Linked DNA regions of Tribolium castaneum. The protein of the gene in region 1 interacts with the protein of each later gene in a pairwise test. Links are inferred from orthologs where the notes say so. Each region holds a gene or a part of one and is shown on either strand. Other genes may lie near its edges. The genes, in order: Moe and conu.

The links.
Region 2: the proteins of Moe (region 1) and conu interact in binary tests that used the Drosophila melanogaster proteins (3 or more experiments, as listed by UniProt). The link is inferred for Tribolium castaneum from reciprocal best matches to the Drosophila melanogaster genes Moe and conu.

Annotation. Positions count from the first base shown.
Region 1 is NC_087397.1:5,679,334-5,695,641, reverse strand, and holds Moe (moesin/ezrin/radixin homolog 1), read left to right. Parts: upstream 1-9,514; 5' UTR 9,515-9,576; coding exon 9,577-9,639; intron 9,640-9,693; coding exon 9,694-9,873; intron 9,874-11,774; coding exon 11,775-12,049; intron 12,050-12,618; coding exon 12,619-13,690; intron 13,691-13,737; coding exon 13,738-13,902; 3' UTR 13,903-14,776; downstream 14,777-16,308. Other genes in the region: uncharacterized protein LOC661454, read right to left, coding at 1-82, 630-739, 1,400-1,512; zinc finger protein 358, read right to left, coding at 3,147-3,847, 4,073-4,577, 4,634-4,801; Dop1R2 (dopamine receptor 2), read right to left, coding at 16,042-16,125. UniProt on the Drosophila melanogaster protein: Involved in connections of major cytoskeletal structures to the plasma membrane. Together with wgn, involved in control of axon targeting of R8 and R2-R5 photoreceptors, independent of egr.
Region 2 is NC_087403.1:3,527,278-3,543,448, reverse strand, and holds conu (rho GTPase-activating protein conundrum), read left to right. Parts: upstream 1-6,791; 5' UTR 6,792-7,061; intron 7,062-7,067; exon of another isoform or gene 7,068-8,839; 5' UTR 8,840-8,889; coding exon 8,890-8,980; intron 8,981-9,032; coding exon 9,033-9,274; intron 9,275-9,323; coding exon 9,324-9,439; intron 9,440-9,487; coding exon 9,488-10,032; intron 10,033-10,080; coding exon 10,081-10,425; intron 10,426-10,469; coding exon 10,470-10,671; intron 10,672-10,720; coding exon 10,721-10,937; coding exon of another isoform or gene 10,938-10,989; intron 10,990-11,128; coding exon 11,129-11,221; 3' UTR 11,222-11,350; downstream 11,351-16,171. Other genes in the region: larp (la-related protein 1), read left to right, coding at 1-365, 416-614, 668-790, 839-1,217, 1,270-1,658, 1,708-1,856, 2,784-2,935, 2,988-3,019; Rlip (ralA-binding protein 1), read left to right, coding at 4,792-4,879, 4,931-5,060, 5,106-5,314, 5,367-5,628, 5,675-5,852, 5,900-6,613; centromere-associated protein E, read left to right, coding at 13,510-13,607, 13,654-13,752, 14,114-14,337, 14,386-14,573, 14,881-15,570, 15,614-15,814, 15,860-15,988, 16,041-16,171. UniProt on the Drosophila melanogaster protein: GTPase-activating protein (GAP) for Rho1; functions with the ERM protein Moe to regulate Rho1 and control proliferation in the developing epithelium. Recruited by Moe to the cell cortex where it negatively regulates Rho1 activity.

The DNA.
Region 1 (16,308 bases):
GACGATCTTTGAAGATTCTTCTGCTCGAATTCCGGTGGGGGCCATTTTATTTGGTCGCGAAGGGGTCTACTATAGCCGATACCTAAGAAATTTTAGTTGCGGGGACAAACAAAGGTAAAAATAGACATCGCGAAGAATGAAAATCAAAATGGGAGGGGGCTGATTCAAAAATACAAAAAACAAAATTTGAGCACGGAAAAAACACGTGCGTAGAAAACATTGAAGGCAAACATTAAGATTAAGTTTTATTGCTGTCACTATTATTTTTCAACGGTTGAAAGATTCAAGGGACCTCGCCAAGATCCAAGATTTTAAAACTTTTGTCCCAGAGACCTTCAGTCTGTGACATTTTTATGAGCCGCTGATAAGTTGTTATGTCTCAGACACGTTTTACACAACAAAGTTGGAAAAATCATGCATTGTTAAATTATTACACAATTTTTTATTCAGTAAAAATCACTGTAATCAACTAAACCTACCGTTGGTGTGTTATTTTTATTTAAACAAACCATAAATAACAAAAATTTACTAAGTACCACACTAAATCAAATTTTGTTTTTGTACTTGTCTTAGTAAATCCTGTTGTTAGCGAATGAAAAATGCCTAATTATTCACAAACAGAATCTTACTCGGTGACTGGCCACTCCTTTGCCTCTGTTCCTCTTCCTCTAACATTCTCAGAACAGCGGAATTTTGTAAATTCGTCGGTTTCCCAACTCCGGGATTATTAAAATTGATTCTAAAATGAGAAAAAAATCACAAAAACAGTCACAAAATTGTTTGATTTTTGCAAAAACTACCTGTCTTCAACCAGGTAACTCATGTTTCCGTTTTGTTAATATACAGAGCGGCGCGAGAAATCGTTCAGTGTTTCGCGTTCGAGAGTAATTCGCGTACTGAAAATTGTCCGAGTTTTGAGTGAAACGAGGGCTAATCTTCGTCACAATCTTTGTTTTCTTGATGTCACCACTGAATCATTGACCCAAAATAAAAAAATCTATTTCGGTATTTGTGCATTAAGGAAATTGTACATTTCCTGATGTGAGCAGTGAACTCGGATTTACAAGTTGCGGTTTTATTGCATTGCTTCGCATCGCCAAAGCTCAGAAATAGACTCTCATCTTTCAGAAAATGTGTTTATGTAATTTGATTATTTACGAGGAAAAGTGTGAAATGGCCTCATATTTTGCGCTTTTGGTAAAGAATGTTGTACCATTTTTCGCTTTATTCTCTGTTGAAAATTTATTTTCAACTGGCATCAATCTTCCGCCCACCTTTGCCCGAAAAATCCCCACAATATTTAATTTTAAAAATTTCTCAGACGCAAATATGTCAATTAGGATTTGCCCTGGTTGAAAACATACCTGAATGGAACTTTGCCAAAAATGCATTGTCTTACCCGACTGCTCCATTTGACAAAATTTGGGACTCTCTTTCGATCACTTCTCGAATGTTCTGCTCGGAATATAAACCAATAGGAGAGTTGAACTGTTTGTTAACTAATCTCGCCATTTTTCGGATTCTTCTCGCTTCTAAACTACCTGAAATTGAAATTTTAAGGGGCCTCGCTGTAAAAATAAACTGATGAAGAGATCGATGAAAAGATTACTTGAAACAAGTGTGCTTTCACCAAGTTATAAATAACGACGCTCAGTTCGAACAAATTGCAATTTTCCATCACGGAGGAATTGAGATGCGATCGTAAACTTAAAATGATGTGTAAACATGTAATTTTTCGAAAGATTATTGATACGAAGTGTCCTTTGTTGCAATCGGCTAGAAACTCTAATTTCAAACAGATGTTGTTCTCAAGTGGCTATTTTTCGGTCTTGAACCCGAGTCAAAAACCGTGATTCACTATTATATTTTTAAAATTCGCTATTTAATTTTTATGGGGCATTCTAATTTCATTTAAATTTAAAGTCACGGTCGAACGCATATTAAAGTCATACTTATTTATATAACAGAGGTAAGTAAATTGTTATTTCAGTTGTTTGAAGTCTAATTATACCCGGGACAAAATGTGAGTCAGACTGAAAAATTTTCGTCAAAAAAGCGAATTCGTGGGACACGCACTTCTATTAAAAGCCCCACACTGCAATCCGCGCTATTTCCAGGAAACAAGTACTTGCTCTAATTCCGCTACTTTATTTTTAATTTGTAAATTATGTGAATGTGACTTGATCCAAGTTATGATTGATGGTTTAGGACTAATATTAGTAAGCATTAAAAATAGATATGAGTTTGATTAAATTACAATTTGTTGACTTGCAGCTACCTGAAATATTCGTTGCCGCTTTTCAGACGATCGCAGGGATAAACTGGCAAAAGCGATTCTCATATCCCACACTTCCCATAGAGGACAAGCGGGGGGCAACAACGTAACTATACGCCAAAAATTTCAATAAACATCCATTGACAATAAAATCTGGAGAATTTTTCCGACACGTTTATTGCCCAACATAATTACTCAGTGCTTGTTTTTGCGCACACCTGCCGTAATTGCACCTCTAAAAATATGAAATTAGGCTGGTAAAAATAATTTCTATAGGTTTTTGAGTGCGTGCGACCATTATATGCGTTTCGCTTATAATTTTCGGGTTATTTTTGATTCTTTTACGTCGGCGGTCCCGAAATAAACGAGATTTTTGGACAAAACTGAGATATTTCAGTCGGGGATGGAAAAGTTTGTCGCACGCTGTGACAATTAAGAAAAAGACAAGACAAAGCATTGGGATTATTTCAATTTTGCCAAAATATTTACTTTTCGGCGAAATTATTATTTCGTTTACGGCAACTACGTGACAATTTTACCAACATGGCAGCATTCCAGATCACGTTTGTTCCATGTAATTTGAGGATAATAAAAGGTGGGAAAGGGATTTGCACAATGGGTTTCGCGTCTTTGAAAATATTTTTTGTATTTTTAGAGCGGAATGTGAAGAGCGACGTGAGCTATTCACAAATCGGGTCACGTGAACGGGAAAGCATGTAAACGTTTAGCGTAATCTGATATTTGCAACAAGAAATTGTATACGGTGAAGACTATCTTGGAAATGAGATTAAAGGGTTCAAGATACAGACCATAAGTGTGAATAAGTATATTCTTAAAGAAAATATATAGCCACAAAAATATTCGACGAAACCTACGGTTGATGCAGTGTTTGTTTGTGGTGCCTCCTCAGCGACGATTTATCCGTGAACGACCGATCACAATCCCTACATTTAAAGGTCTTCCCTGTATGGGTGACCAAATGCCGACTCAAACCCGAGGCATGACAAAATACTTTCGGACACAAGGAACAATAGTGTAAATTGATATCATGCGAGCCTTCCGTCATGTGCGTCCTCAGATGGATCCTCAGTGGCTCCCTCTGCGTAAAACCTTTGTTACAATGGGTGCAATTGTACGGTTTCTGTCCCGAATGTGTCATCAAATGCCGATACAGAATCTCCTTCTGGGCAAAACTCTTCTGGCATATCTCACACTGGAAGGGTCTCTCCCCCGTATGAATCCTCTCGTGACGCACCAAAGCCGACCTAGTGGGAAACCACTTCTCGCACATCCCGCAACTGAAACCTCTCTGTTGCATGTGAACCGAGGCGTGCCTTCGCAGCTGAATCCTCCGTGCGAAGGACTTGGGGCATTGGGGACACTTGAAGATTTTCAATTCGCCTTCTTCGTTGACTTCCGGCACGGTGGAGCTCATTTGGGGCGCTTCGGCCTCTTCTTCGGTCATCAGTTCCATGACTATGACTGTGCCGTTTTCTGTGGTCACCTCCACCTGAGTCAGCTTGCCCTCCGTGGGGATAATTTTCATCTGCAGCTGGCCAGACACGTCAAAACCTGGAACGATACATTTGAATTGAAAATATCGTTATAGTTATAGTTCCGCTTTTTTGAATAGTTTGCCGTAATTAAGAAAATAAAAAAAGTGTCGAATCAATAAAAATCGATCCAATATGATAGATTTTGGTGTGATCTTTACGATGAAATGAGACGTTTTCTCCAAGTTCTTTTAGTTTCCCCCAATGTGGGAAACTCCACCACAGGCTATCGTTGAATACTGACCCGGCTGGGTGGCAAGAGTGGCCTTGACCGCGTCTGCGATCGCGTCGTAGCTCGTGTCTTCCATTTCTTGGCTTGCTTCATCCACAAAAATGACTCCGTCGCCTTCATTGTCTTCAACATCCATGACTTCCCTTTTGAGGGATTTCAGGGTGCAGGCGTCTTTATTCACGACGTCGGCGTCCGCCGGTAAAGTGATACTTTCGGGATCGTCTTCAGGTTCGGGGTCTGGTTGTATGTAGGCGACTTGGGTGACCCCGACCAAGTCTTCTTCAGTGCTGGGTTCCTTAACTTCATCCTCTTGTTTCTCTTGCGATTCTTCAACTGCCGCTTCGCTCTCCCCTGATACGTTCAGGTCAGCATCGCCAATCTTAGCCTGGAGACTCTTCAAATGCTGCCTCAGTTTCATGTCTGAGTTTTCGCATTTTTTCCGAAAGTTGTACGATTTTTCCAGTTGGAATTTGCACGGGTGACAGATCTTGTTCGGTAGGCCATCGCCTTCGAAAACCTGCAGATTTTGTCAAGTGTAACGAGTAGATAACTACAGTTTTTCGATTTTCTTACCTCGAGGGCGACACAAGCCATGATCCGCAGGGTCAAAGGGATGGCTTCGTCGCTGTTGAAAATCGGCACCAATTCGTCCTCTTTTGCCATACATAATCGACATAATTCGTTTAGATCCAAGATCACGTCTTGAGCTTCTCCGGATTTCTTCCGACTGTAGGTTTTCATTTTGTTGGTAAATTATGATAAATCAGTTATCTACTTCGCGTATTGCTAGAGACGCTCACTACTTTATCTGTATTTCCAAGATGGCGGAAATAGAACAAGACTGAAATGACGTGCGCTGACAGCGGGATCGATTTTGCGCGCGCAGTTTTCATCATTACCGATACTTTTTTCACTCACAAATGAAGACAAAGCATTTTTTTCCAGTTAAAAAATAAATCTCTTGATCCCAGCTCGTAAAGTGTTGCGTTCCTCGCAAACACTTTACATTTTAAACTTTACATTTTTATCCCAAACCAGGTCAGGTGGGGTCAGTGGACGAACATTTCATAAAATCGATAAAGACAAGCTTAAAGCTGTCGTTATGCAACGAGCGTATGCGAGGAGCATTTTACGTTGCTATGAGAAGCGCGTTTTGACATAGTAAAAACACGTTGCTACCGGAAACGTATTTTAAAATAGTGTCTATAATCTAGGATTTGCAGACTTTTTCCAGAAAATTTAATTCTTTACAACTTTATTTCTTACACTTTTTTTGTATCTTCAACCGTATGGGCAGCGTTCACAAAAATATTACGTGGAAAGCAAATTGATAATTCTAAGCTTGTAGAGACTTATTATCTGTTTCAGAACTATAAAAACGCCAACGTAGATTTTTTAATATACAATTTTTTTCATGTTTCTTGTGAAAATTTTAATCGTTAGTTTTCTTATTTTGTTAAGCCCAACATTTCGACATTCTTTCCAAGTAATTTGTAATTGGTTGAATTAAATTGATTTAGGACGATTTGGTGCCAAGGCGGTATAATGCTCAAAGTGCCCCTATTTTTACTCTATCGTACTATTATTTTGAGTTCAAAAAATTCTGCGATTTTGTATCTCGTTTCGTCTCCTGACTTATAGTTCTCCGTAGGATGCCAAGTGTTTTGGCTATTTTTCTAGAACAGGATGGGATTCGGAATAAAGGAATAAAAACCACAACTGCATTAAACACTGGATTTTATTGCTATAAAATAAAAATTAAAAAAAAAATGATAAAGTGCCCTCTGTTGGGGGTGGTTCCGTCTAACGCCGATTGGTCGTAGTTGGCTTTGGGGTAGAACCCTTGGTTTTGTGGTCGTTTGGTAGATGGCAGTATATCGCGCATTTTTGGTCCTCTGGTGGCAAAGTCGGAACTAAACGATACACAATTTGCTGATTCTTGACAATTTATTTTCCGATAAGTTGTCGTGTCGTGTGTGGAAGGGTGTGTGCCCAGAAAAACCCCGCGTGTGCTACTTAATGTGGTGGCTACAAGAGTGTTAATCTTCAAAAGATATATTTCTTAGTGAGTATCTCCCCCTTTCCAGCAAGTGTCACGTTTACAAAGACGCTTCAACAGCACAGTTATTACAAACACAAGTACCGGTACTGCCTGTTCAAAGGCTGACCTGTGCTTGGTTCGGAGGCGATTTCCCCTTTGGGAGTCGTCCTCGTGGCTGGAATCGCGAAAATGGTCTAAATCGAGCTGATAATTTAATTAGGCCGTATGTTGAGTCAGGTGGCGTACCACTCGAGCGTGTAAATGGTCAACAGTTGCAAGGAAAATGGTGCTGTGTGAACTGCACTTGGGAAAAAATGACACCTAATTGACCAATCGGGTGCGCTCACGGCCGACTGTTTAATGCGATTTTCGAGCCCTATTTACACGAGGTTCATTTTTGTTGCAGGTTTTTTGGTTCGAGACAAGACTGCCAACATGCCGAAATCGGTAAGTAGAAGAGGTAATTCCGTGTTGACGCACCGCACTGTGAAAACACCTGTTGATTGGGTGTATGGTGGTGAAAGTTGCATTTCACTGTCAATAACTTTTAAATAAAATGTCGGGTAATTTGGAAAATTAGTGCCTCTAATGACTCATTATGGACATTTTACAATGGCATCGTTTAAAAGGAATTACATTGCACCATTGGTGGTTAAGTTTCAATGGGCTATTGAATTTTTTTTTGGCTTTAGGGTCGCATAAAAATTATGGTTTTATATCATTTTAACCGCTACAATAGTCTAGCGCCATTTTGCTCATTTCTGTGTACTTTGACTTTGCTCCAACTAAATATTTCCTATTATCACATACCTTGATAAGTTACGGTTGAATTAAGGCGAAATCGTAAAAGGAACAATGAGTACTATTTATCTAAGCTATTTCCCATTATCTTGATTTATTTCTATTTCAAACGAATCCATAAATTTTGTAGTTAAATAAAAAAAGTGTACCGACTGGAAACAATGAAATATTTCACTGGTATTGTCCTGCCTAGCAATTAGTGTTTTTCTGATAATCTGTATCACATTTTTACTGTTTTACATGCTAATTCAATTAGTCAAGTTTTGAAGCAAGAAATGGGACATTAAATTGACTGTAAAGTAGGCTTTAACGTCAAATTTGACTTTTCAAAACGTCACAAGTTTAAATTAAGGTTATTATCTAAAGGCCGTTTTACGTGAAATGAACCTACGGTCACATTTTTTTTTATTCGTGCGATACTATTATCAAAGAGCTATTAAATTTTTTGGTTAATTTTTGACGAAATTCTGCGAAACTTCCTATTTCAGATCAGTAGCATTTTGCAACAGCACATTTGAATTTTTTGGGGTGAAATAAAGCACAAATTGAGAGTTGTATAAGAAAAGAATTCTATGTTAATAAATTTTGAGCTAAGAAAACCTACCAGAAACTGTCAATTTGTACACCATTTCACCCCAAAAAATGCAAATGTGTCCCATTTTCGATTTAATTCGGAAAAATTGCTTTTTTTTTATAAATGCAGCAGTGCATATTAAAATGAGTAACGTCTTAAAATATCACCTTATCAATGACTGTATTTACCAACAATTCCCAAAAACTTACTCATCGTAGTAGGCAGAGCCAAACAAATGAAATGTCCACAGTCTACTTGACTTATTCTAATTCAAGGGCATCGAGATGTGGGCTGGCCTATTTAATTAGGAATACCATTTTTTGTTTTGTTTTTATTGTTATTTCATAATCGCCTTGTCTGTTACTCTTGTAGGAAACGTCAGTTTCGTAATTTTCACATGAAAAACAATAATTCACACACCAATTGTTCAAAAGACAGTCATTTGTTCCGACCTCGTCATCTTCGCCACTCACCTAAGAAAGTTTTAATTTTGTAACGACCGACGATTAAAATTTTAAGTCTCACTTAATTCAATAAAAATAAGCTATTAATTGCTCTAGATGTCATCGAGATCAGATTATTTTGATTAATTATTTGCACTCTACTTTCCCCGAAGTGACAAATAACCAAATCGAGTTGTATTGTTTACAGAGTTCTTAAGACTTAAAATAAAAATGATGGTATAACAGGTGCTGTGGAGCAGATGCCCCCCTATGTAGCTTTGCTCATGCCCACAGTTGATTCATGAATCCGAATACTACTATTGGTGCTTTCATTCAATCGACGGTTTGTCTTATTCCCTAGACCTCAACGGTCTCGGCTGTGTGTTCAAGTAATTCTACCGGTTTCAGTGTGGAGTTTACCCCACCGGAACCAAGTCCATCGCTGTGAATATTTAGTGTTTAGATTTTTGGTTTAGTGGACTGTTTTTAAGTTTCGTTCAAAATGGTGTCCAGCAAATTGGTAATACAATTATTTTTAATAACTTGTAATAAATTTATTCAAAGACTTGTGGAGTCACGGTTAAAATAAACGGTTACGAACTTATGCAACGTTTAATTATATTTTTTTGTTATTGAATGACTCACACTATAAACAAGATAACAAGAAATTAAATTATTAATTAACTAATCTTCCCATTTTTAACTCGTGATTCAATTTGAATAATTTTTCGATTTGGTGCCACTGTAATTGTCAAAGTGAAACTTGGGTGCAAAATATAGGTACCCGTCATACATAATTAACTAAAATGTAAATTCTGCTCTTGTTTCGCTGAATTTTCATACAAGGCTAGGTTTTATCTGCCTCATCTGTAAAACTGCCGTGACGATTGAACACCCTGTCTATCGTCATAAAATGTGTGACTTCTATAGTGATTTGGTAGTTTTTCGAGCCTGGAACTTTAATCGTAATTTTAATTAGAAACGATTGCTCACGTTTAATTTAGCCTTGATGATAACTGTCATAGTTACAGAGTGATACATGCAGTAGCATGTTTTTTTGACCAAATTGTGTTAATGATTTATAAATATTTACAAATTTATTGGCATTAAAATCCAAGTAAATATGATTTGGCCGGTTTAAATTCAGACATACGACCAAATGAATGTGAAAATTTGTATATTTTAGCAATTAAACGTTGATAACGCATTATCGAAATTATTTAAACGTTGACGAACGTGTGCGAAAATAACCGTCATGTCGTAATGGGATTTTATGTTACGATGATGTTTGTAATAGTTACAAATTGGAATAAAAAATTTGTGTTACCTTGTCATTATTTGCATATCGATTTGAAGGTTGAACCTTATTATTTTTTCAAACAATTGAGGAATAATATTGTTTCGTTACTTACGTCTTGATGGAAGATGCGTCTGAACTTGACTGATATTTTATGAAACGATACACAATAAATATTTTGTCACGTGATTTATTGCCAAATTATGTAACTAATGTGTAGCTAAACCTCTTATCTCGCCGTTTATATTTTTAATAACCCTTGTTTATTTTTAATCTAATTACAATATTTTTATTAAGCAAACTTGATAACTTTCCAAGACGATACAACAGTGCTTTTGTTAGGCTGGCGTTGTGAGTGCGATGAAATTTTTTAACACGGACAAAATGTACATTTTAAAGCGGCGTTATTGTCCTGATACTAAAGTACTAAATTAATTGGGGGTGTGTACAGGGTGTATAGTTAAATTTTGGTTTCAGATGAATGTCAGGGTGACCACTATGGATGCGGAACTCGAGTTCGCAATCCAGCAAACAACATCCGGAAAACAACTCTTCGATCAAGTAGTTAAAACAATCGGATTGAGAGAAGTTTGGTTTTTCGGACTACAGTACACCGATTCTAAGGGTGATCTAACATGGATCAAGCTGTACAAAAAGGTAAAAACTAGGTAGATCATCCAAATTGATTTTTTGTTTATTTACGAGTATTATTACGTAAGTTTAGTAGAACATAAGTGTTATCTGTTTTGATAGTTCAGGTATGTCGATTGTAGATAATTTGATTGTATTTTTAAATACGACCCAAATAAAAAATTGATAAAGTTTTCCATGTCGAGGATGTGTGGAGCAGCCGCCATTTGGTTGCGGTCTCTTGCGTCATTGTTAGTTGAAGATGAGTGACTCACAACCGACCATATTAAAAATCAAGTGATAAATCCATTCGGCGAATCGAATTTTGCGTTTTTACGACTTTGAGAATGCATTAGTTATTTTTAAATTGATTATGTCAGAGGCGAAATTTGCCACCTGTTGTGGGCGGCAGCCCGGCCTTAAAGGTCACGAGTCGAGTTGCATTTATTTTTCAAATTTTTAAAAATATTTCGAAAACGACATCATCAACGTGAATCATTAATTCAATAGTGGGTAAGCGCTCAGTAATTTGTTTGTTTTTTAGCGCCATTAAGTGGTAATTGTTATAATCGTTTCAAATCCCGTGGCAAAAACAAATTAAAAATTTAATAAAATCGTTTTTTGACCGCTTTTTCGTGTCAATGTCGGCAATATCATCATTCTTATAGAACAGGTATAGGTCATGGCGAGTTAAATAATGCACCACTTGTCTTCGCCATAATAGATGAAGGACGCTTGATAACGCATAAATAAAATATTTTTCCAAGTAGTGCCCCCAACCTGCTTTGTTGGTATTTTTAGACCCTCTAGAAATAAATTGGGAAAATTGTTGTTTTTCACTTTTGTCTTATTTTAATGCAGCCGGAATCTGTCATACAAAGAAGTTTCAAATGCTTTAAACAAATAAAAAACTTTCAGCCGCGTCCTTTGCTTTTAAATATAGAAGACGAAGACGATAATGAATTGGTAAGTACGAAATTCGCCCCGAAATAATTTCGAGTACCGTCTAAATTTAGTTCCGGATGTTAAGACGAGTGCAAACATCAAAAAGATCTAAAATTAATTCGCAACTTTTATATAAAAAACAAGCCAGAATCGATTTTTGTTTTTTAATGGAACGCTACTATAGACAAAACTACAATCATTAATGACCGGATATGATGGGAAAAACGGAAATACAAAAGTCCTTGTCTGGCACCGTAGCGGAAAAGCACAGCACGATTCGTTCGGACAAAATTCGGCTTTTCGAGTTTCTATTTATGTGCTCATTTATCATCTCGCTTTCACGACGATTAGAAAAATGATTTTGCATAAAATCAGGCCGTTTAACACAGAAAGGTGCGACTTGGAATGTCAAGTGAATGCGAATAATTGTTGTAACACCGCTCGACTTGCATGCATATTTTCTTCTATCAAATTTATGAATGGGATAATTAAAACGAGTCTTTGTCTAAATATCGGAAATCGATTGAGCTCGGATTTTACTTTTACAAGGCCATTGAAAGTCATCTCGGCGTATAAGTACATTCACTGTAACAGAATTCTTGAGTAGGTCAATAGCTTCGGATGGTACTTTTCTACAAGGAATTCCCTACAGGTCGGGCTTCGAAGCCTGGATTTTAATTACGATAATTGGGTAATTAGGATTGGGTACATTAAATATGAAATTAATGTAGTGTCTAGCTTGTAATACGCCACGTGATTAAATACCGTACATTGCATAAGAAAATACTTCAAATTGGAATTATACATTGCTACGTTGGCAAATTTACAAGGTAATAGTCGGCAAGGTTAGCCGAGAAATAACGATGCACAACAAATTACAGTATCTTTATTCTTACGTAACGTCTATAAAATAACAGAAATTCTTTTTTCCTAAACGTGCAAACTGTTATTTCCTGTCATTAGCTCATTTGCATATTTTCCAGGTGATGAGCCAAGATGTGAAGAAAGAAAATCCACTTCAATTCAAGTTCCGTGCCAAATTTTATCCCGAAGATGTCGCCGAAGAATTAATTCAAGACATCACTTTGCGTTTATTTTATTTACAAGTTAAAAACTCTATCTTATCTGATGAGATTTATTGTCCTCCTGAAACGTCCGTCCTTTTAGCTTCCTATGCCGTTCAAGCGAGATACGGCGATTATTGTAAGGCCGTTCATACCTCCGGATTCCTTTCAAACGACAGACTTTTACCACAAAGGTGATTATTTTACAGACAGAGTTTATTTATTAGCGCAAACACAGTCAAGGAGCTTGTAAAACTTATCTACTTTACACACACTGATAAAATAATAACACAATTTAACAGGAATGTGGCCCAAACACTTTTCCTTTTGTCGTTGTAATAACGTACTTACTCATGTAGAATGTATTTTAAAATCACTCTTCTAATTAGGTGTACTTTTAAATTGACCTTTGAAAACAATTTTCCTTTACTCAAGAGCACACCCATATCTTATCTTTTAGCAAAATTGTTTTGTAAAAATAGACAAATAATAGAAAAAACAAAATAATTTTTTTGTTAACAGAATGGTTTCGGCGGGCCATAGTAGGTATGATTTGTGTGGAATTCTGACTTTATGATGATTTGTTTGTGTTTATCACAAATCTAACCTACTAAGCACCTCTTAGAACCGGGAAAAAATTGTAAATATTGCATGAATTCGTAATGGTGTGTTTAATTTAAGTTTATTTACCCGAGCTGTGTCTTAATCACGCTTAATATAGAGGAATATTTGTGGTAAAACGTTGAAAACCGATGATTTTCAGAGTCATGGACCAGCACAAGATGTCGAAAGAGGAGTGGGAGCAGAGCATTATGACCTGGTGGAAGGAGCATCGTGGTATGTTGCGCGAAGACACCATGATGGAATACCTGAAAATAGCCCAGGACTTGGAAATGTACGGTGTGAACTACTTTGAAATTCGCAACAAAAAAGGCACCGAACTGTATTTGGGCGTGGACGCCTTGGGTCTGAACATTTACGAAAAAGACGACCGACTAACGCCCAAAATCGGCTTTCCCTGGTCGGAAATCCGCAATATTTCGTTCAACGACCGCAAATTCATTATAAAGCCAATCGATAAGAAGGCCCCCGATTTCGTATTTTTCGCGCCTCGCGTTCGAATAAACAAACGAATTTTATCTCTATGCATGGGTAATCACGAGTTGTACATGCGACGTCGGAAGCCCGACACCATAGACGTGCAGCAGATGAAAGCCCAAGCTCGTGAAGAAAAACTAGCCAAACAACAACAAAGGGAAAAACTCCAATTGGAGATTGCGGCGAGAGAACGCGCCGAGAAGAAACAACAAGAGTATGAAGATAGGATTAAAGCAATGCAAGAGGAGATGGAGCGAAGCCAAGCCAATCTCCTCGAGGCACAAGAGATGATCCGGCGCCTGGAGGAGCAACTGAAGCAGTTGCAAGCGGCCAAGGAGGAGCTGGAGAAGAGGCAGAACGAGCTGCAGGCGATGATGGAGCGTTTGGAGGAAAGCAAGAACATGGAAGCTGCCGAACGCCAAAAGTTGGAGGAGGAGATTCAAGCCAAACAGTTGGAGGTGCAGAGGATCCAAGACGAGGTGACTGCGAAGGACAATGAAACTAAGCGTCTGCAAGAGGAGGTCGAGAACGCGCGTCGCAAGGAAGAGGAGCTGAAGGCCCAGCAAATGGCCAATGCGACCAAAGGCCACCTGGAGGAGAACAACCACGATGAGGACGATGAGATGGTCAATGGGGACGTGAGCAAGGATTTGACCACGGATGAGAACATTGTGGATCCTGTGGAAGACAGACGCACTCTTGCTGAGCGCAATGAGCGACTCCATGATCAACTTCTGGTGAGTTTTACGTAAAAAAATTCCAGTTATTTCAATGGCTCTTCCAGGCTTTGAAGAAAGACCTCGCCCAGTCGCGGGACGAGACGAAGGAAACCGCCATGGACAAGATCCATCGAGAGAACGTGCGCCAGGGCAGAGATAAATACAAAACTCTGCGTGAGATACGTAAAGGTAACACTAAGCGTCGCGTGGACCAATTCGAAAATATGTAAATCACAATCAAAATCAAAATTCCATATTCAAACTTTCAATGCTCAATACGAGATCATGTTAAATTTAAGTTTTGGTTTACTTACGTCTAAGTATGATTTTTTTCCAATGTAAGATAAAAAGTGCTCATTTAAGTGGCCTTAGACTTTCAAATCTTAGTTACACTATTTTCATTCTTGTTTTGTTGCAAATTATTTTGTTAGAATTGTGATATGATATGAGAGGAGAAAAAAACAGATCTGTTAATTCACTTTCTTTACATTTAAATCACTTAAACGCATTCCACGTAATGGTAGTTTTTCTTCTAATTTTAGTGCCATTTGGTTAACGGGCTACACAAAAATAATCTTTGTTTTTTGAAATTCGAATTGATTCTAAGATCAGCTAAATTTTGTACACTTTTATTGGCCTGGTGCTTCCTTATTGTGTAAATAAAAGTTATACAATTCGTTTTTTCTACTTACTGTATTTTTATCGTGGTTAAAAAGAAGGTTTTTACAATATTTTTTCTACAATACTTAATCTTTTACCTGTTACATATCGTAACAATAAAGTAATGTACATAACATTTATTTTTTAAAGACCATGATGCCTTCTAGATAGGTTTGGATGATATTTACACTGTAGTATGTCAGATGGGTGAGGAAAAACCGTTCTTCAAATGGTTTTTTAGGAAAGAAATTAACTAATCCTTATTTAAATAAACCGCAGATATCAAACGTCTGTTTTATTATACATTTATATAATATATATTTATCTTGCGATCACTTGTATATTGTACATCCTAAAACTACGTCGCTAGTTTTTAACATTTGTATTCTTCGTAGTTTATGAGTTATGTACTACTAGTATAATTAATAAATATTATTTGGAAAACATTTTTTATTTACCTTTTCCCTATTACCTTTCCTTAGGCGGCCCCGGTTTGAAATCAGACTCCAAATTTATCATCATATTTTAATAAAAACAAACAACATTTATAAAATTTAAATAACATCACTTATTACATCAACACAATAGAATCGGATACATTTTATTTTATGTGATTTTATAGTAGATTATACATCGTAATTGACTAGGACCATTTTAATTTTATTATTGTTATTAAAATTAAGTACAGTACAATAAAAATCTGAAACGTAACATCGGTAACAACAAAAATCAACAATAACGTAATACCGTATTGCTCAAACAATTTTTCTGTTTTCTCATTTTTTTGTCCATTTGAATTATACGGTGCTATCTATAATAAAATTATTAGATGATTGCATTTTATATTTTGTGATTATAAAAATACATAAGTCCTAAAATTAGGTAAATCTTTGCTTTTAGAAATACTGAGCTATGTTTCACTAATTACTAAATTAAAGTATATCACAGTTGAAGAAAACTAAGTTTAAAATTGTACACTTTTGTATGTCGGTAAAAGTACCGCATAAAGTTGCAATACTCTTCCGTTACAAGTTCGAAAAGATTGTTAGTCGCACATAAATGCAATTCTCAATGGACCTAAGTGCGCCTTTTTTATATTTACTGGAAATAAAAACTATCTAACAAATATACAAATTCTATGGGCCATCTAAGCTATCACGGCGTTTATCAACTAAATTTACATTATAAGCAAATGCAGGCAGTTTGCCCGTTTGTCCTTTTCATTAAAATTACAATTTTAAAATCAATTTAAGAAATAATTTATTGTCAGTTTATTAACGCAGTAAAACATGAATTTTGCTGGAATTTGTGTTCATTAAAAATAATTGATGAGTGTTTTGCCGCTATTTCCATTACGATTCTATTATTCCGCACCCCAACCGAAAAAAGCGGGTGCTTTGTGGGTAAAAACAGACATTTATTCCTAATTTTGTTATACAACTTTTTAAAAATATCTAAAAGCGCACATTTCCCCCTATCTTAACATTAAGTGTCTGAAGCAGTCAGATCCATCGAGATCAGCAACAGAATTCGAAAGAACGTCACACTTATACTGAAAATGACGAAACCACAGTGATTGTTTTCCTCCGATTTTATGCCATCCTTAAGGTGCTAGGGGAAGGTGAGCACGAATGGATCACTCTGTGTGTGGGCGATCCAGGACTTCCAGTCGATAAATTAGGTGTCGGATGTCTCGTCCGGACGTGGCGTCACAACGGGTAAAGTTCATGTTGGCCCACTGAAGAGTAAGTCACGCTATTTGGGGCGCTCTCGACCACATGGGAGTTAAAATACTGAAAGAATGCAGTCGAGTCAATGGACATTGGGAGAAATGGCCAAAGGGCCCCTGACACTTTTCTTGATGAATGGGTGTCAGCGACCCGCACATAAATAAAATATGGGTGTGCTGAATTGTAAGGAATAGATAGACACATAGTTGCAAGCCTAGTTGCTCGGATTGTTGACGGCGGGAGATA
Region 2 (16,171 bases), on another chromosome or scaffold:
GTTCCTCCTCCGCCGCTGCCGCGGACTTTACGAATAGAAAATTTAAATCCGGACGTGCCTGAATTTATCCCCGAACATAACAATAACAAAACCAACATCAACATGAATAGCACAGAAGACAACGATAACAATAAGGAAAACACTAGTGAGAATAATACGGTCAATAGCGCCGATAGTAAGGAAAATAACGGGTTAAGTACGGACGAGGAAAGTTGGCGGGAAGTTAAGCGAAAAAATAAGGAAAACAAGGGCAAGAAGGAGACCAAGACGAAAAGCTACGAACGAGAAGAACTGGAATTCTACTTCGACGAAGAAATCGATCACTGCGTGCTGAGCGGACGGCAAAACACCTTCTCAAATGAAGGGTAAGACGACTGCTCAATTAATTTAGTTCCAATAAAAAAATTCATTCTAGCGCCGAAGACGACTCAGACGAATTGAGCGACCACGACGTTAGCAAATTACTTATCGTAACGCAAACACCGTCACGTCCACCCAAACACGAAGGTTACGACCGCACTGGTGATAAAACAACACGTGTCAAAATAACACAAGAGTTAGAACAGGCCATCAACGATGGACTCTACTATTATGAAGAAGACTTATGGTGTAACGTAAGTCACACAATCGTGTCAATTAACCCGTAAAAACAAACCACTTTTGTTAGGACTTTTCCTCGTTCGGTAGTTACAAAACCGTTAATGTGATCAGTCAGGAAGATTTCAAAAAGATGGCGCCCCCGGCGCCCAAGAAACAGAATCCTGAAGTACCGCCGCCACCTCCCCCTGTTGTAAGTTAGTTGGGTGTCGTTCGTTCGTGGTTGTAACGTTTTTAACAGGTCGACGTTAGTAAACCTTCCGGTAGTAAAAATAAGAGTCCGAAGACTCCCGGTCATAGAAACGTGCCAAGGTTTTATGCTGTGGTTAAAGACGAAGTTCCTGATCCTCACACGCCTAGGAAACGCAAGACGAAACATTCGAGCAATCCACCTGTTGAGCAACACGTCGGCTGGATCATGGACGTGCGGGAGCATCGCGTTCGTACGAGCTCTGCTAGCAGCAGTTACGGGACAAGCCCGAGCGAAAATCACCTGGGAACGAGCTGTGGAAGCGTGCCGCAGGCGTTGCCCGCTTTCCAGCACCCCTCGCATGCTCTCCTGAAGGAGAACAACTTTACGCAACAGGCTTATTCGAAGTTCAGGGCAAAGTGCTTAAAAGGTACGTTTTTTTGCTAAGTGAAGCGTTTCGTGATTTTCGGTGGTTTTTCCAGAACGTAAACGTTACGGTATTGGTCAAAGCAATGAAATGAATACGCTATTCCGATTCTGGTCATTCTTCTTGCGCGAGAATTTCAATCGCACGATGTACAACGAATTCAAGACAATTGCACTCGAAGACGCGGAAAAGGGTTATCGCTACGGACTTGAGTGTCTGTTTAGATTTTATTCGTACGGTCTCGAAGTTAAGTTCCGGCCGCATCTCTACGAGGATTTCCAAGAGGAGACGATCAGAGATTACGAGAACGGGCAATTGTACGGCTTGGAGAAATTTTGGGCTTTCTTGAAGTATTACAAGCATAGCAGCGACTTGCAAGTGAATGCGGTACTAAAACAGTATTTATCGAAATTTAAGAGCATTGAGGACTTCAGAGTCGTTGAGGTAACTAGTCAAGGTGAGTAGAACGCGGTTTCATTGGTGGTTGTTTCAGCCGATCAACGATACTCAAAGCGGACGTCCTCAATATCGTCAGAAAAACCGAAATCGTAGTCTTTCCGAAACACATTCGGCTGAACCGGGAACATCACGTGATGACAGCACTATTGGGCGACGCTCCTCTGGAAGTAACGTCGCTCATAGGTAAGCTGATTTGGGTGTCGAGAGTCGGGCAGCCATGTTGTGTAATTTCGGCCAGATTAGATTGTTGCTTACTTACCTCACCAGTGATCTATGCAGGCTGAAATGGCGCCGGGATATCCTATATTATATGCTGATACATATTGTTAATAATAGGGAAAGGTTTTGCCAAGGATTTGCTTATAATAATATTGATAGAACGCTGCCAATAGAATGAATAGTGCAGCCTGAGTTAACATCGTTTGATTTTTTGAGGCAACGTTGTGCCAAAAATTGTTGTTTTTTAATCAGTCAAGTTCAGAACGACGCGATTCTGTTTAACTCGCCATTCAATGTATAGATTGTTTAGTCTGCGGTCCGTTACGAAGATTATAAGCCTTATTTATCCTCTTGTCTTATGAATAAATGCGCTGTTATTAATTTATTATTTAAGAAGAGCACCTCAGCCAAAGTTGATTGATTATAGGGGCTCTCCGGAAATGCATTTATTTTAGTTGAGTGATTTTTTAGTTTTTTGTTTGTTGTTAGGGGAACTAGGCTGTTAGTTTGGTGTTAGGTTTCATTGGTGCACTACTGTAACGAATCAAATGGGAGAATCGCCAAATGTGTGTACATTCTCAGTTTTCAGATCGTTTTAAAACTTAATTAATTTTTTAATTCATAGTTGTATGTAATATTGTATTGGAACATTGTTTTTTTTTTTCATTAAATTTTCTTAAACTTTATTCTTTTTTATTTACTAGTAACAAAGCGACACAGTAAAATAAAGTGATTTGAATCGGGAATTCTTGCTAAACCTTGAACTTTCCCTGTTATTTGACGTTTTATTTATATGAACTGTTGGGGTGCATGGAGTTATAAGAGTTCCAGGGGCAACAGTATTTGTTGCGGGCGCGCGTGGGGAGTGATATGATGTATATTTTATTCTAGGCTTGATTTTGCTCACGCTCAGCCTGGAACTAGTGCTCCAGCTGGCACAGGTTTTAGATACGCGGGACGGGCTCGTACTCAGTCTTTTGGATCTGGCCGTACCAAAAGTAACCGAAATACCGGTGAATCTTGGCGACAGAAAGAGCCAGATGGTAGGTTGGGTGGGTTTGAGTGACTTTTGGCCTGAATTGAACTTTGTTACAGGCAAATTTGAAAATTCCACAAACGCTGCTTAAGTTCCAACAAGTGTTCTAGTTAAGTGATCAAGGTAATTTTTCGTACGTTGCTCGGTCTTTTCTTTTGTAAATTTTAAGTGTAGGTTATAATGTTTTAAATTATAGTTATAATTATTATAAAACTATCAAGCACTGATGTTTGTATAAAAATGAATAACTGATGTATAAAAGTGTAAGTAGATTTGCGCAAGTGCCATTGCCTTAAAATAACTGACAGTTTCATATTTTTCTAGTAATTACAAGATGAAGCTATGCAACGCAATATTTTTTAAATGTCAGTGGAGACCGTATCGGTTCTATTATTATATAACGTGAATGATTTAGTCATAAAGTTTTGTGTGAGTTTGATGGTTACATTAATCAGTTGTATTGTAATGACTGCGCTATACTTTGTACATACATATGGGCTCACTCCACAATACTTTCATATATAAAATCTAAAAAATAGGCTGTTTCGTTTTCGCTTTAGTGTGTACCAATATATTAAGCATTATGTAGCTGGGCTACACGTATAACTGCTTAGCTGAGATTTCTTAAGGTTGGTTCATTAGAAAACAATACAATCAATGTACGTTTAGTTGAGCTAAGAATGTTTGCACTTTTCATTGAAAATGGCAATCATACGATGGTAAATTTTACTTATTTACTTAAGGTATGCATTTCCCCAAAAAAATTTAGTTGTAATGTTGTTTCAAGACTATAGATAAACGCCACTCGCCAACTCGTTGTTCTAATACCATTTAATGACACAACCACCGTTTCTTTTGTTATTATATTATTGTTTTTTTTTTGCGCGTAGCCTCGATCTAAAGTAGGGACTACTCTTTACGTTGTTACATTGCCGGATTTTCTTTCACTCCTCCCGTAGTAGGGACTACTTTTTACTTTGTTACGTTGCCGGATTTTCTTTCACTCCGCCCGTAGTAGGGACTACTTTTTACTTTGTTACGTTGCCGGATTTTCATTCACTTCTCCCGTAGTAGGGACTACTTTTTACTTTGTTACGTTGCCGGATTTTCTTTCACTCCTCTCGTTTGATCTAGCTTGAGGATATTTATAAGTTGTGTTAGGACCCCTTGACAACTGGTTTAGGGGCAAGACTAGACAAAGGTGTTGTTACTTGAAACTCTGTTTTTATTAATACGACTAAATCCCATTTGTTTTATATTGTTAACAGTTTTAGGTGTCAACTACTCTTGATATATTTTTATAATGACCTTCCCTTTGGTATGTTTATGAAAATGTAAATCATAGGACAGGCAAGGAGTTCTTTTGTATGTGTTTTCGTAATATTGTATTTAGAGTACTAATTCATCATTTTAAGATAGTTGAAAATCTGCTTTTCCGTCTCGCCTGCAACCAACCACGTGCAATCGACAATTGATTGCAGGCGAGACGAAAAAACACATAAATCTTGTGATAATTAAACGTTTTTTTTGCTCAACTCCTTGCAATTTATTACATAGTTAAGTTAGTTTGTAAAGTGTGTTGTGGAAGTGTGGTCAAAGATTTGTCTTCCTGTAACACGTAAAAAAAATTAAAAAAAATTACAAAACTAGCTCGTCTTTTATTTCGAATCTCCCGGTTAAGGCGGCCCTCAACACCAGTTCCTTCAAGAGATGGCAGGGCAAGCACCTGTCATATTACACCACTCAGATGACTTGATTTGTGTTGTTTCTGTTTTATCCCAGCTTAACATGCTTAGCAACAAATTCCCTTGGGAAAATAGTGTCATAATTATTTATTAAAAGTTCAAACCCAACCGTGTCAATATGGATTTTGATAGCCCCGACGTAATGAAGGATTTCCCAGGCTTGTACGCATCCGAATTAAATAAGCAGTGCAATAACGACAGCGACTGTAATAATAAATTAAGTGAACCACTAATTCCCGATTAAAACTCGTTTCTAGATAGTGACGAAAATGAGAAAGTCTTGAAAAAGGACATTCTCATCGGAAAACGCAAAGAGAAGAAGGATAAAGACAAAGGTTATGCCGCTTTAGAAGGCGAAAGTTCAGCTGATGAAAATTTCAAGTCGAGGTAATCACACCTGCAATCACTCAAACCCTCACTGGGATGTTTCAGAAGCCCGTCGAAAACAAAAAAAGCCAAACCGTTCAAATTCTCCACCAAAGCCAAAGAAAAACGGGACAAATCCCGCGAAAAAGAGAAAGATCTCGACAAGAAGAAAGACCGGGATAAGAAGAATGACAAGAAGCAGGACAAGGAGAAAGTCAAGAGTGAGAAAACGAAGAAACTCAAACAGTCAATTGACGAGACCGCTGACATCGGCGGTGAGAACTCTTACATAATGACAATAAAATTGGAATGAATTGTTCGTTCCAGATATTTTACCGATTTTCGGGGCTAGTTTAGACGTGGCTGTTGAGAGGAGCCGGTGCCATGACGGTGTAGACATTCCTTTACCCATTCGGGAATGTATAGACTATGTAGAAACCGTAGGTATGTCGTTCGAAGGCATATACAAAATCAGCGGAACAAAATCAAAAGTTCTCCAAATACGTAAAATGTACAATCAGAGGGGCAATATCAATTTAAATGACTACGACCCTCCAACCGTCACAAGTTTAGTAAAAACCTATTTAAGGTAACCTTTTCTTAGGTGTAACATGATGGGCAAAAACTCTTTGCAGAGATTTACCAGAACCACTTTTTACAAACGACCTTTTAATACGTTTCGAGGAAGCCGGAGCCATCCTTAATCTCAACACTCGCGAAAAACACTTAAAAATTTTAGTGGACCTTTTACCTCCCCACAACAAAACGCTCCTCGGCTGGCTCATCACCCATTTACACAACGTTTCTCTGAATGTGAGTGCCTTAACACCCCAGCCCCCATAGTATAGCGCGTTTCGCAGGAAAAATGCAACAAAATGAACAAACAAGCCATTTCCACAGCCCTCAACCACACCTTCCACTGCTCCTCGCGCCTCCTCCACGCCCTGCTCCACCACTGCCTCGCGCTCTTCCCCACAATCACAATCGCGCGCTACGTGCCCCCTCTCGAGTCCGGGGCCAAGCTCCCCGAGGAGCCCCCCGAGATCGAGACGGAGCTCAAGAAGCAGGAGTCGCTCCTCACCCAGATCCACAAGGAGATGAACGTCTGCTGCATCTCGAAGCAGCGCGAGGAGCTCCTCTGGGAGGTGCAGAGGATCATCACGCAGCTGAAGCGCAAGCTGAAAACGGCGAACCGCGACAAGGAAGCGGTCGAGAAGGTGGAAGCCCCCGAGCCCGAGGCGCAGCCCGAGGAGGCGGCCAGCGAGGAGGAGTCGGAGCTGGACGGCAGCGTCGCGCTGCTGAAGTTCAAGAACGAGGGGCTGCTGCTGCTCAGAGACTCGCTCCTGAAGGACATCCAGGCGGAGCGCGGCCAGATCGCCGTGCTGCGCTCGCAGATCACGGGGGAGGTGCCGCCCGTGGCGATGGTGCCCAACGAGGACCTGGACGAAGTCATGGACCTGTTCCTCAAGGAGAACCAAATTTTGCAAATCAAGAAGATCAACTTGGTCCGCCAGATCATCGAGGAGCAGGAGATGTGCATCGAGCTGAGAGCGCAGATTTTAGCCAAGTCGTAATGTGTCCAGTATTATTGTAACTGTATATAATAAATGTTCAAATTGACGCTGGGTTTAAATTTAGGTAGACTTGACATTGGAGTGGGCCTAAGGTTACGGTATGCAACTAGCAATGCGCCTGAACTAAGCCAACAGGCGGCGCTAGCACTACTTAAGTCGAGTATTTTTACATGTTTTTGTGCGTGTTGTTTTTATTTTTAGTGGGGAGTGAGTTCGTACTGTTTCATGTCCGATATTATTTTAGAATAGGAAGTGGTTGAAGGTGTTTAATTTTTTAATTGTTATTTGTTGGATTTTTACGACCGTCCCTTGTGATGTTTGCTGGCGTTTGGCAAAGTCAATAAATAAGATAAGGAGTTTCGTTAGTGTTTAGTGTGTATACATTGCTCATTTTATTATATTGTTATAAGTCACATTTTGAATCGAAGCCTCAAGGGACCATCTCGTGGTAAGTCTTCTGTGACCCAAAACCCCATTTATGACTCCCACGTCAATAACAATCATAATCAAGTTTGCTCAACTTTTGATTAAATTGTCGACTTTGTTTACACAGATGATTCCGTTTAACCCAGAAACTTCACCAACCCGGAATTTTAGCCCATTCGTCTTCGGCACCCTTTCTTTATCTTATTTATTGTACGAAATGTTTTTAAAAAGATTAGATTATAATAGTATGTAGGTAGTTTACTTTGTTCAGGTCTTCAAGGTTATAATAAGCAACCACGAAAACATTCTTGATTTGTTTAATTTTCGGATTTGAAGCCGTTCCAGTAGCCGAAGACGTCTGTAATTATTACAGTTTTATTTACAAACTAAAAACACCGACTTGGGCATCCAAGCATGAAATTGATACGATAATCCAGATTGAATCTTTTTCCAAAAGTGGAACAAGAGATTATGTCAGATATCGTACATTTAATTCGAATTGTTCTGCCTTAGGAGGCAAGAAAGTGAAAAAACGAGATTTTAAACTAATTAATGCATTTTCTAAATCACTTTCGTTTTATTGTGTTAATCTGCCCCTCATCCTTATCTAAGATTACGCACATGCACACTTATCAGTAATAATAATTCATTCCAAGCTCTTTAACGTGATTTATTTTATTATCTTTCTAATCTTTTCATCGCTTTCGAATCCGATTCTTTATCCTGATTCGCGCTCCAATGATTCTGGGTAATAAGATTTTTTGTCCTGCTGTGATTACATTTTTTGCTAATTATAGTCAAATCTGGAGAAATCGAAAATGGGGAGAATGTAAACATTTTTCCAGCGCACAATGCCTTTTTAACTGTAGCCGAAACAGTAACCAGTGAATGTAACGGTCAATGTTACACTTGCACTTTAATATTTATAAGTGTTACACAACTAGAAATCAAAAAATCAAGATCAGCTCTCAAGAATTCAGATAAACTGATTAGCGAGAAGTAATTTACGATTCGTTTTAAGTTGCAAAAATTTTCAAATTTGAGTAATGGCTTATGAATATTGATGCTAATCAGCGGTCGAAAACTGGTCCAATTAATGCACCGAAAGTAAAATGAGTTAAATGCCTTCCAAATAAGTACGGTGCGGTCGAGCCGCGGTCTATTTTCCAATTTCCGTTCGATTATTTGAGTCGAGACAAAGCAGCTTTCTAATTTTTTTCTCGATTTGATTGTCTATCAAGGCTGTTGAATTCGCAAGTTTGAGATGAATATGACGTCATCGGGTACAATAACACTGGTAGAGTCGTAGGATGGAAATTATAGTTTGTTGAAAAATACCAAAGAAACACTTCGTTCCAATTTACGGATCGGAGGAAATGTAGAAAGTAGCTAAGTAGTTCATTTATACGATTAGATAACTTCGGTGGCCTTCACCGTTCATAATTTTCACTGTTAATGTTTACAAATTGACCTAGCCACATAAATTTGAGCACAATGCGGGAAAAGCGAAACCGAACACACGAATGTTATCGTCGAGTGGATTTGTTTTGCAACTTGAATTGTTTTGTTTTTTCCTCAATCAAGCCATAGCGGGATGATTAGTCTTACTTACATATTTAGTCGCGCTTAGTCAATCTGCGATAGTTAATTAATTGCCTGATTACCTCCAGGTAGTGTCGTGTAAACAGACTATCCGCATTGTAATAGTAAGATTAGTATTGCTGATCACGATCCTGTAGAAACTCTGTTCGCATCAATTGTGTGGACATTCCTTTGTAGCCTTGTTAATTATGCTTCCAGATGTGTAAAGAAAGAATTGCAATCATGAAGAACATATAAGTGTCCTAGTTATGGAATCAGAAGAAGCGCTCAACTACTACATTAACGAAGTTAAAGACACTAACAATGAGATAGAAATCGAGGAAGAGCAAGTCCCCAATGGTGGAACCTCGGACCGTTTTGGCATTACACGTAATAATTTTCCGCGTTTTAGAAGCCGAACAAGCTGCTGACTTTCTGCAAAAGGTCGGTTTATCCGACTTGACGAAGTTGTACAACCAGGGAAAAGAAATAACAGAAAATGTAGTTAGCGATTCCGTCAGGCAGAAACATTTGACTGAGAGACAAGCCGAAACTGTTAGGTCTAGAATCCGGACTTTAAACAAAACACTGCACAGCAGACAGCCAAGGCGGAAACAACGGCAAGACATTCGAGACGTAGCGTGGAATGTTGAAGTAAAACCAACAGAGTAAACGAATTAGCGCTGATATTTCACCGTTTCAGACATCGAGTACCGGTACCAGGTCTAGAAGTGCTACACCAGATTCACTCGACTCGGTCGGAATCCTAAACGATGACCTAACTTCGGACGAAGACCAGCAGTCGTCTTTACCTCCTTTGTACCCAACCCACGATTTTTTTTCTAAGTGTAACTCGCTCCTTTCTAGCCCACTTGAATCTAGTCAACCAGTATTTAAAGCAAAAGTTAAATGGACGTCCAGTGAACCGCTCCAGAACAAAAAATTGAGCCGTGATAAGGGAGATGTGGCCCATCTTGGATCTGAAAACGTTATCTTGAAAGGTTACCAGCCGCTGAACGAGTACTCGACCCTCCCGCGACCCCAAAGAGAGCGGAGCGGGAGCGACCCCACAACAGAAGTGCACCTCCAGCCCCTCAAAAACCGGAACAGTTACGAATGCAAACCGCTCAACCTCCACAACGAATTCTCCCGCAGCCAGAACAACTGCAGCAAAGTGTACATAAACGGCGACGAGAACGAAATCCTGAGCTTCGAGGGGTTGATGAGGCAAAACAAAGTCAATCAACTGACGTCCGAAAGCTTCGGTTTGTGCGACCAAGGCATCGACATCGACGAATTCACCGACAGCGAATACCAGTACTTAAAGCCCCTACTTTACGTAGAGTTAGTCGCTATATTCGACCAATACAAGATAGTTTTTCTGAAACGGAAGGCCAGTACTAAGTACAAAGGCAATTTTCCAATTTGTTTTTTTCGTTTTGTTTGACTGTATTTTCCAGGTGGGAACGTCTTCGGCGTTAATTTGTCGACTCTGGTAATGCGCGACATGCAGCGACCGACTGATAACCTAATGGTGCCTAAGATATTCCAAAGCGTCGTCAACCAACTGAACACTCGCTGCGTGTGCGAGGACGGGATTTTGAGACTGGCCGGCCAGAAGCAGAAGCTCGAGTTTTTGTGCAACGAGATCGAGTCGAAATTTTTCACAAGCAGGCTGGAGGTGGAGACGCTCCTGGCGCAAGCAACGGTGCACGAACTGACCGGGGTTTTGAAAAAGCTCCTCCGGGACTTGCCCGACCCCGTGTTCACCATGGAGCTGTTCGATATGTTCTACAAAACGAGCAGTAAGTCGCGGTTTTGCGTTTCGTGCCCTAAGTCCCGGTTCCAGTGATTCCGAACAGCGAGGACAAGTTGAAAGCTTTAAACCTTCTCGTACTCCTCCTGCCGATCGAGCACCGCAACACCTACAAATTGCTTCTGCAATTTCTTTTGAACGTGGTCAAGCATGAAAAGCAGAACAGGATGAATTTACACAACGTCGCGATGATTACAGCCCCGTCGTTTTTTCCTGCAAGGCTGCTGCTTCCGAAGTGAGTCAAATTTGGCGTAATTGGACACCTGGCGAAACGCTTTTTTCAGAGATAATAACAGTAAACTGATTATGAAGCAACTGTCGCAGGAAGAGTTGGCCAAACATATAAACGGCGCTGCGGTTTGTTGCGTCATTATGGAGACCATGTTACGTGCAGGATTGAAATTGTGGCTAATTCCGAGCTACCTGGCTCGGCAAGCGAAGGAAGCACAAAAAAGAGCGCAAGACAAAAAGGACAATAGTAGAGATAGAGACAAAAGAATTGTATGTTGTATTATTGACATCATATTATGTGGGTTTGGTATGGGAAATAGAGGTGATGGTTTTTCATTAATGCCGTTTTCCCAAATAACTGTGTCTGTGTGCCTCTAACCCCCTGATACTGTCTCACCGGCCGCTTTTTTGCACTTTTCAGTGGCATTATTACGCTTGGTTTTCATTATTTCTGTTTTCAGCCGTGCGGTAAAACAAAGTTGGTCAGGAGCAGCACTCAGTACGAGCCTGGCCCTATCAACTCGCCGAGGATCAAAAAGGACTTGTTTATCTAGACCCAAGAATCGAATTGTATAACATATTCCTCAATAACGTACCTTATCAACCCCTTAATATCTAGTAATATATTTAATACTTGGTTTACAATTCTCTGTGCCAAAATAAATTTTAATTTTTAATTTTAACCAGTGTTTTATTATTATTACCCACACCCATAAAAAAGTAATATAACTTGAAAAAGACAACAGCGCATTTGCATTTTCTGGCCTGATAAATTTAAAGCAAGGGAAGAAAAATAATTATTAAAGATCCTCGGAAGTTATTTATGCATTTAGCTATCGCCAGTTATGTCACTTCACGTTTTTTCTGTAGAAGTGCACTCATTTCTTGAATTGAATTGAAATGGATTACAAATTGGTTTTTTGCGTTAAATAAAAATCCGGGTTATGTTTAACGGTTTTATCATTAATAGTAAAAGAACACCTAATGGAAAAAATAAATGTTCGGTAATGCAGGCAACCAAGAATACGGCAAAACAAACAAAGTCACAATTTTAAATAAATTACAACCGAAAATAACTTTGCACTCCGCTGGCAATGAATCTAGCTATCCAAAAAACTTATTCAATCCGTTATTCGTTCACGTTTTTTTGCGTCTTTGTTTTTTATTGCAATACCAATTTAGCCCCGATACTAGCCCACATCAATACGTTCCTGCCTTCGACGATTTACACAATTTCTATTTCAACACATCCGGAGAAAAAATACGCAGCGGGAGGTGTACTATACAGGCTGGCATAAAATCCAAGCCACAAACCATCAGAAATGCCTCAACTCTTTTTTCAAACCTCTAATACAATATATTTGAGTCAAAGATTTCAAATAAAAAGTACACCGCTTTTACAGTTAAACCACTCTAATCCGACCACGTGCCAGGTGGATGAATTAGCTTTGTCTCCGCACAGCGCAGCAAAAAAAACTATTATTATAATAATAACCAATCAACAACTTATTAATTAACTTATTTTGGTTATGAATGTTTTGCGAATCTCATAGTAAACGTGTCCAAAAGAATTGAATTTAATTATTGCAATTTATTGTAACGTGTTAGCAACTTCGATTTAAGTCCCTCATATTTTATGACTATGTAATGACTGGACGATTCCGACTAAAAATTTAGTTTTTTTGATAAAAGTGCAGTTGGAGACTTACTTATGTAACATAATATGTAAGCAAACAATCGAACAAACCAATAAATTACCTGTTGAATTAATTTGTGTGTTATTTTACCTTTTGTTGTTCCCTCCTGTTTTAATTATGAAAAAAGACATAAAATATTCGAAGTTCACGTAACTGGTCCAATAGTTGTGGGGGCGCATTAGGCCGGCCTGTATGTTGAATTTTTAGATAAAACTGCATCGGAGCCTGTTCGTCGTGAATTGGAGAGCGCTCGAGAAAAACGCTTGAAAAATTAGCTGTAGCCTGGCATGCTATTTTCGGTAGTCCAATTTAGTTCGGCTAATTCCAGTACAATTAGTAAAATATAGAACAAAACAAGACGACAAATTCCTAAATAAAGCAGTGTGCGAACCGGTTGCGATTTTCCGCAACAATTGTATGTGATAATTTCCTCAGGGCCACTCACCTTTCCGCCATGTGTTTTCCTGTTCAAATTTAGCATTTTTCCGAAAAATCAAGAAAAGTGTCGTGGTTGCCAAATTTTCAAACAACTTTCCTTCTAAAATTAAATACCCATATGGTGGGGTGTTTCAGCAAGGAGATGAAGAGAAAAATCTAAAGTGCGTAAAGAAAAAGTGATTGTTTTGAAAGCGACTGGCGTCAAACACTGGATCGCATACGCTTTCAGGAATGAGTGTTGCTTATAAGATTTATAAATTGTTTGGCGAACATCCCGAAATTAGGTGAGCACGGAATCTGGTTGCGACGCTGACCGTCTTCTCTCGCACAGCTTCAACGTGTGTATATGTTCATATGAAAGTGACCCCGTGCGAATTATCGCCAAATTGTCCGATTTTTTCGGTAATGTGGGAGTAGTGCCGTCGTGCGAACTTTCCAGTGAAGTGATTACGTAATTGATGCACGTTTTCTGGGCCCGATGGTCCAGCGCATCTCCATTTTCTCCTAATCCCAGTTTTTGAGTAACAAATACACAGTAAGTGCTGTTATTCCCCATTCGTGAATTTGGTAAATCGAGTCAGGGTCTTGCAGCAAATACAAATGTGCTGTAGCTATATATAGACGGAACTCACGACCTAAGATGTTGCAGTTGTAAATTGTGAAACCCTTTCACCAATTTTTGTCTCTAGCGCTGAATTCGCCCAATCATGCATCACATGTACCCCCTTGCCAAGGGAGACCCCTTGTGTCCCCTAGGGTTCCACCCCCAAGTCAGGTGGCCCACTAGGTGTAAACGGTGCTTCAGGTACATAATCTAGTTTCGTTTTCCGACACAAACACAATCATTTTAGAGACTATAAGGAACATGGGGGGAAGCGAAGGGACGAAGAACCGTCCCTCCGAAGAGACGACACCACGGCGTCGACACCTAGTCTGTCTTGGAGTTCAAGGTACAAGATTTGCTTTTTCACATCATTCACGTGCTTGGCATCCTTCAGCGGTGTCAATTTTGACAAAAGTCAAATTACTACACGGTGCCAAATTAATTCAAACTCAATTATCTTTTTTATACCCAACTGCACGAGCAGATTTCATGGCAGATCAACAATTCAATCAAAAAACAAAAGTGGGGGTTTTTCTATTTTTGAATTTATCGATTAAAAGGAGGTGTTTTTTTCACTTTTTGTGCAGCCTCTAGCCGAGCGTAACCTTAGCAATGGGTTACCTAGACAATATCTTCATCAGTTTAATAATTATCTCGGTCCGAGTTGATTCAGAGAGTAATTCAGTTGATTTTGTTATTCGATTTAGGGATGCAGATAGTGAGAGAAGACGTAGCTGGGTATCTAGCAGCAACTTAGCGTCTGACCGTGACAATAATTCTGTAAAAAGTGAAAGTAATTATAGCAATCCATCATCTTGGACGTCCACTCCAGATTTAGCAAAATTGGAAGACGATACTCAAGCTGTCACAACAGTTAGCATAAAATTACCAAAGAGAAAACAAAAACCGATCGATACGGGACAAAGAACTGGTAATTAATCCAACACGAGAAACCACCGATCAACAAACCATGTTACAGTTTCTGATAGTTTCTCCATTAAACCCGAAAAGTCAGTATTTAGTAAAAACGATAGTTTAGCAGCACGCGCTAGGAAATTACAGCAAATCAAGGAAGCAGCGGAGGAAAAACACAAACGAATCCAAATAAAAGAAGTCAAAACAATATCAGAGGAACCAACAAATCACGATGTACAATTTCTCATCCAAGTAATTAAATGTTGTGTTGTGTTAACCCTTGCACTCCTATTCAAGTAATTAGAGCTTTGTAGTATTTGGGGCTTGTTACACCCTTTATTTTAAATTTCATAGTTTTGGGGAACCGCACGAATAGGATTGGTAAGACGCATGCCAGCTCATCCATCAAGAAGCACCCAGGACTGGTCAAATCATCGTGTTTTTGTACCTTAACAATTATTTTACCCCGCACTCGCACCGCTTGATATTCATCTAACTAACCATATTAACAAAATTTACTTAAAACACAAGAGTCAATACTGAAGACAATTTACGTTAGGTGAAACGAAAACCTACTGTAGTGGAAGACCATCATTCAGAGCCCGAAGACGACGCTGTAAGTATAGCCGGAACCGAGACAACTGACACCACTTTGGTGGATGCGCACGATCACGAGTTAAGAGAACAGTTAGAGAGTTTAAAAAAAGAGCTAGAAACGACGAAAACAAAATGTGAAAGACTTGAACGCGAAAAGAGTGACATTCTCCTGCGAAGACTCGCAGCGATGGAAACAACAACCAGCAAGACCACTGCTTCGGAAGTCCTGAAACTCCAGCAAAAGTGTAACGAGTTGCAACAAACTCTCGAGGATTTCCGGGACGAGAAGAAGAGTCTAACTTTTAAGGTGAAGGAGCTGGAGGAGGAGTTGGAACAGAGACCTACGGCCCAAGCGGCGCAGAAAATCGCCGATGAGCTGCGTTCGAAGCTGCTCGCGGCTGAAACACTGTGCGAGGAGCTGATGGACGAGAACGAAGACATCAAGAAGGAGCTGAGGGACATGGAGGAGCAAATGGACGAAATGCAGGACAACTTCCGCGAAGACCAGGCCGTGGAATACACCTCACTCAAAAAAGAGTTGGATCAGACCACCAAAAACTGCAGGATTTTGTCGTTCAAGCTGCGAAAAGCCGAACGCAAAACTGAACAGTTGGAGCAGGAAAAGAACGAAGCGGAGCGGAAGTTGAAAGAGGTAGAACGGTTAACACTTGTGGCCCCTTCTCACTTTTTGTTAGATCTCAGGGGGACAGTCAACCTTGGCCAATTTGGAGAAAATGAAACAACTCGAACAGGATTTGAAGCTAGCTAACGAAGTCTCGATTCGGTTGCAAAAGGAGTTGGATGAGACGAATCAAAAGCTTCAAGAGGAGTCCAAGACGAGCAAAAAGAAAGCGCCGAAGTTGGGATCCATCGGCAAATTCCCATCTGCTGATGGAGTAAGTTAGTTGAAAGGTTTGGGCGTGTCTGATCCCTGTTTGTAGAAAGTTTCCCGCGAGTCTCTGACTCGGGGCGGTTCCCAAGACGATCCCGCTCAGTTGCTGAGAGACCTCCAAGATTCAATGGAACGCGAAGCTGACTTACGGGAACAACTGAAATTTGCTGAAGAAGAGGTAATCCCTCCACGTGCCTTGTTTTCTAATTCATTTTTTTTCATTGGTCCAGATTTGTAAAAAATCATGCGGACATTTCAAATCCCCCGAATTGCATATTTTTCAACGCAAATCCCCTTTAGTATTGTTTGAGTCTCAAAACGTGGAGACCAAACTTTTCACAGTATCGACCCAAACTTTGTT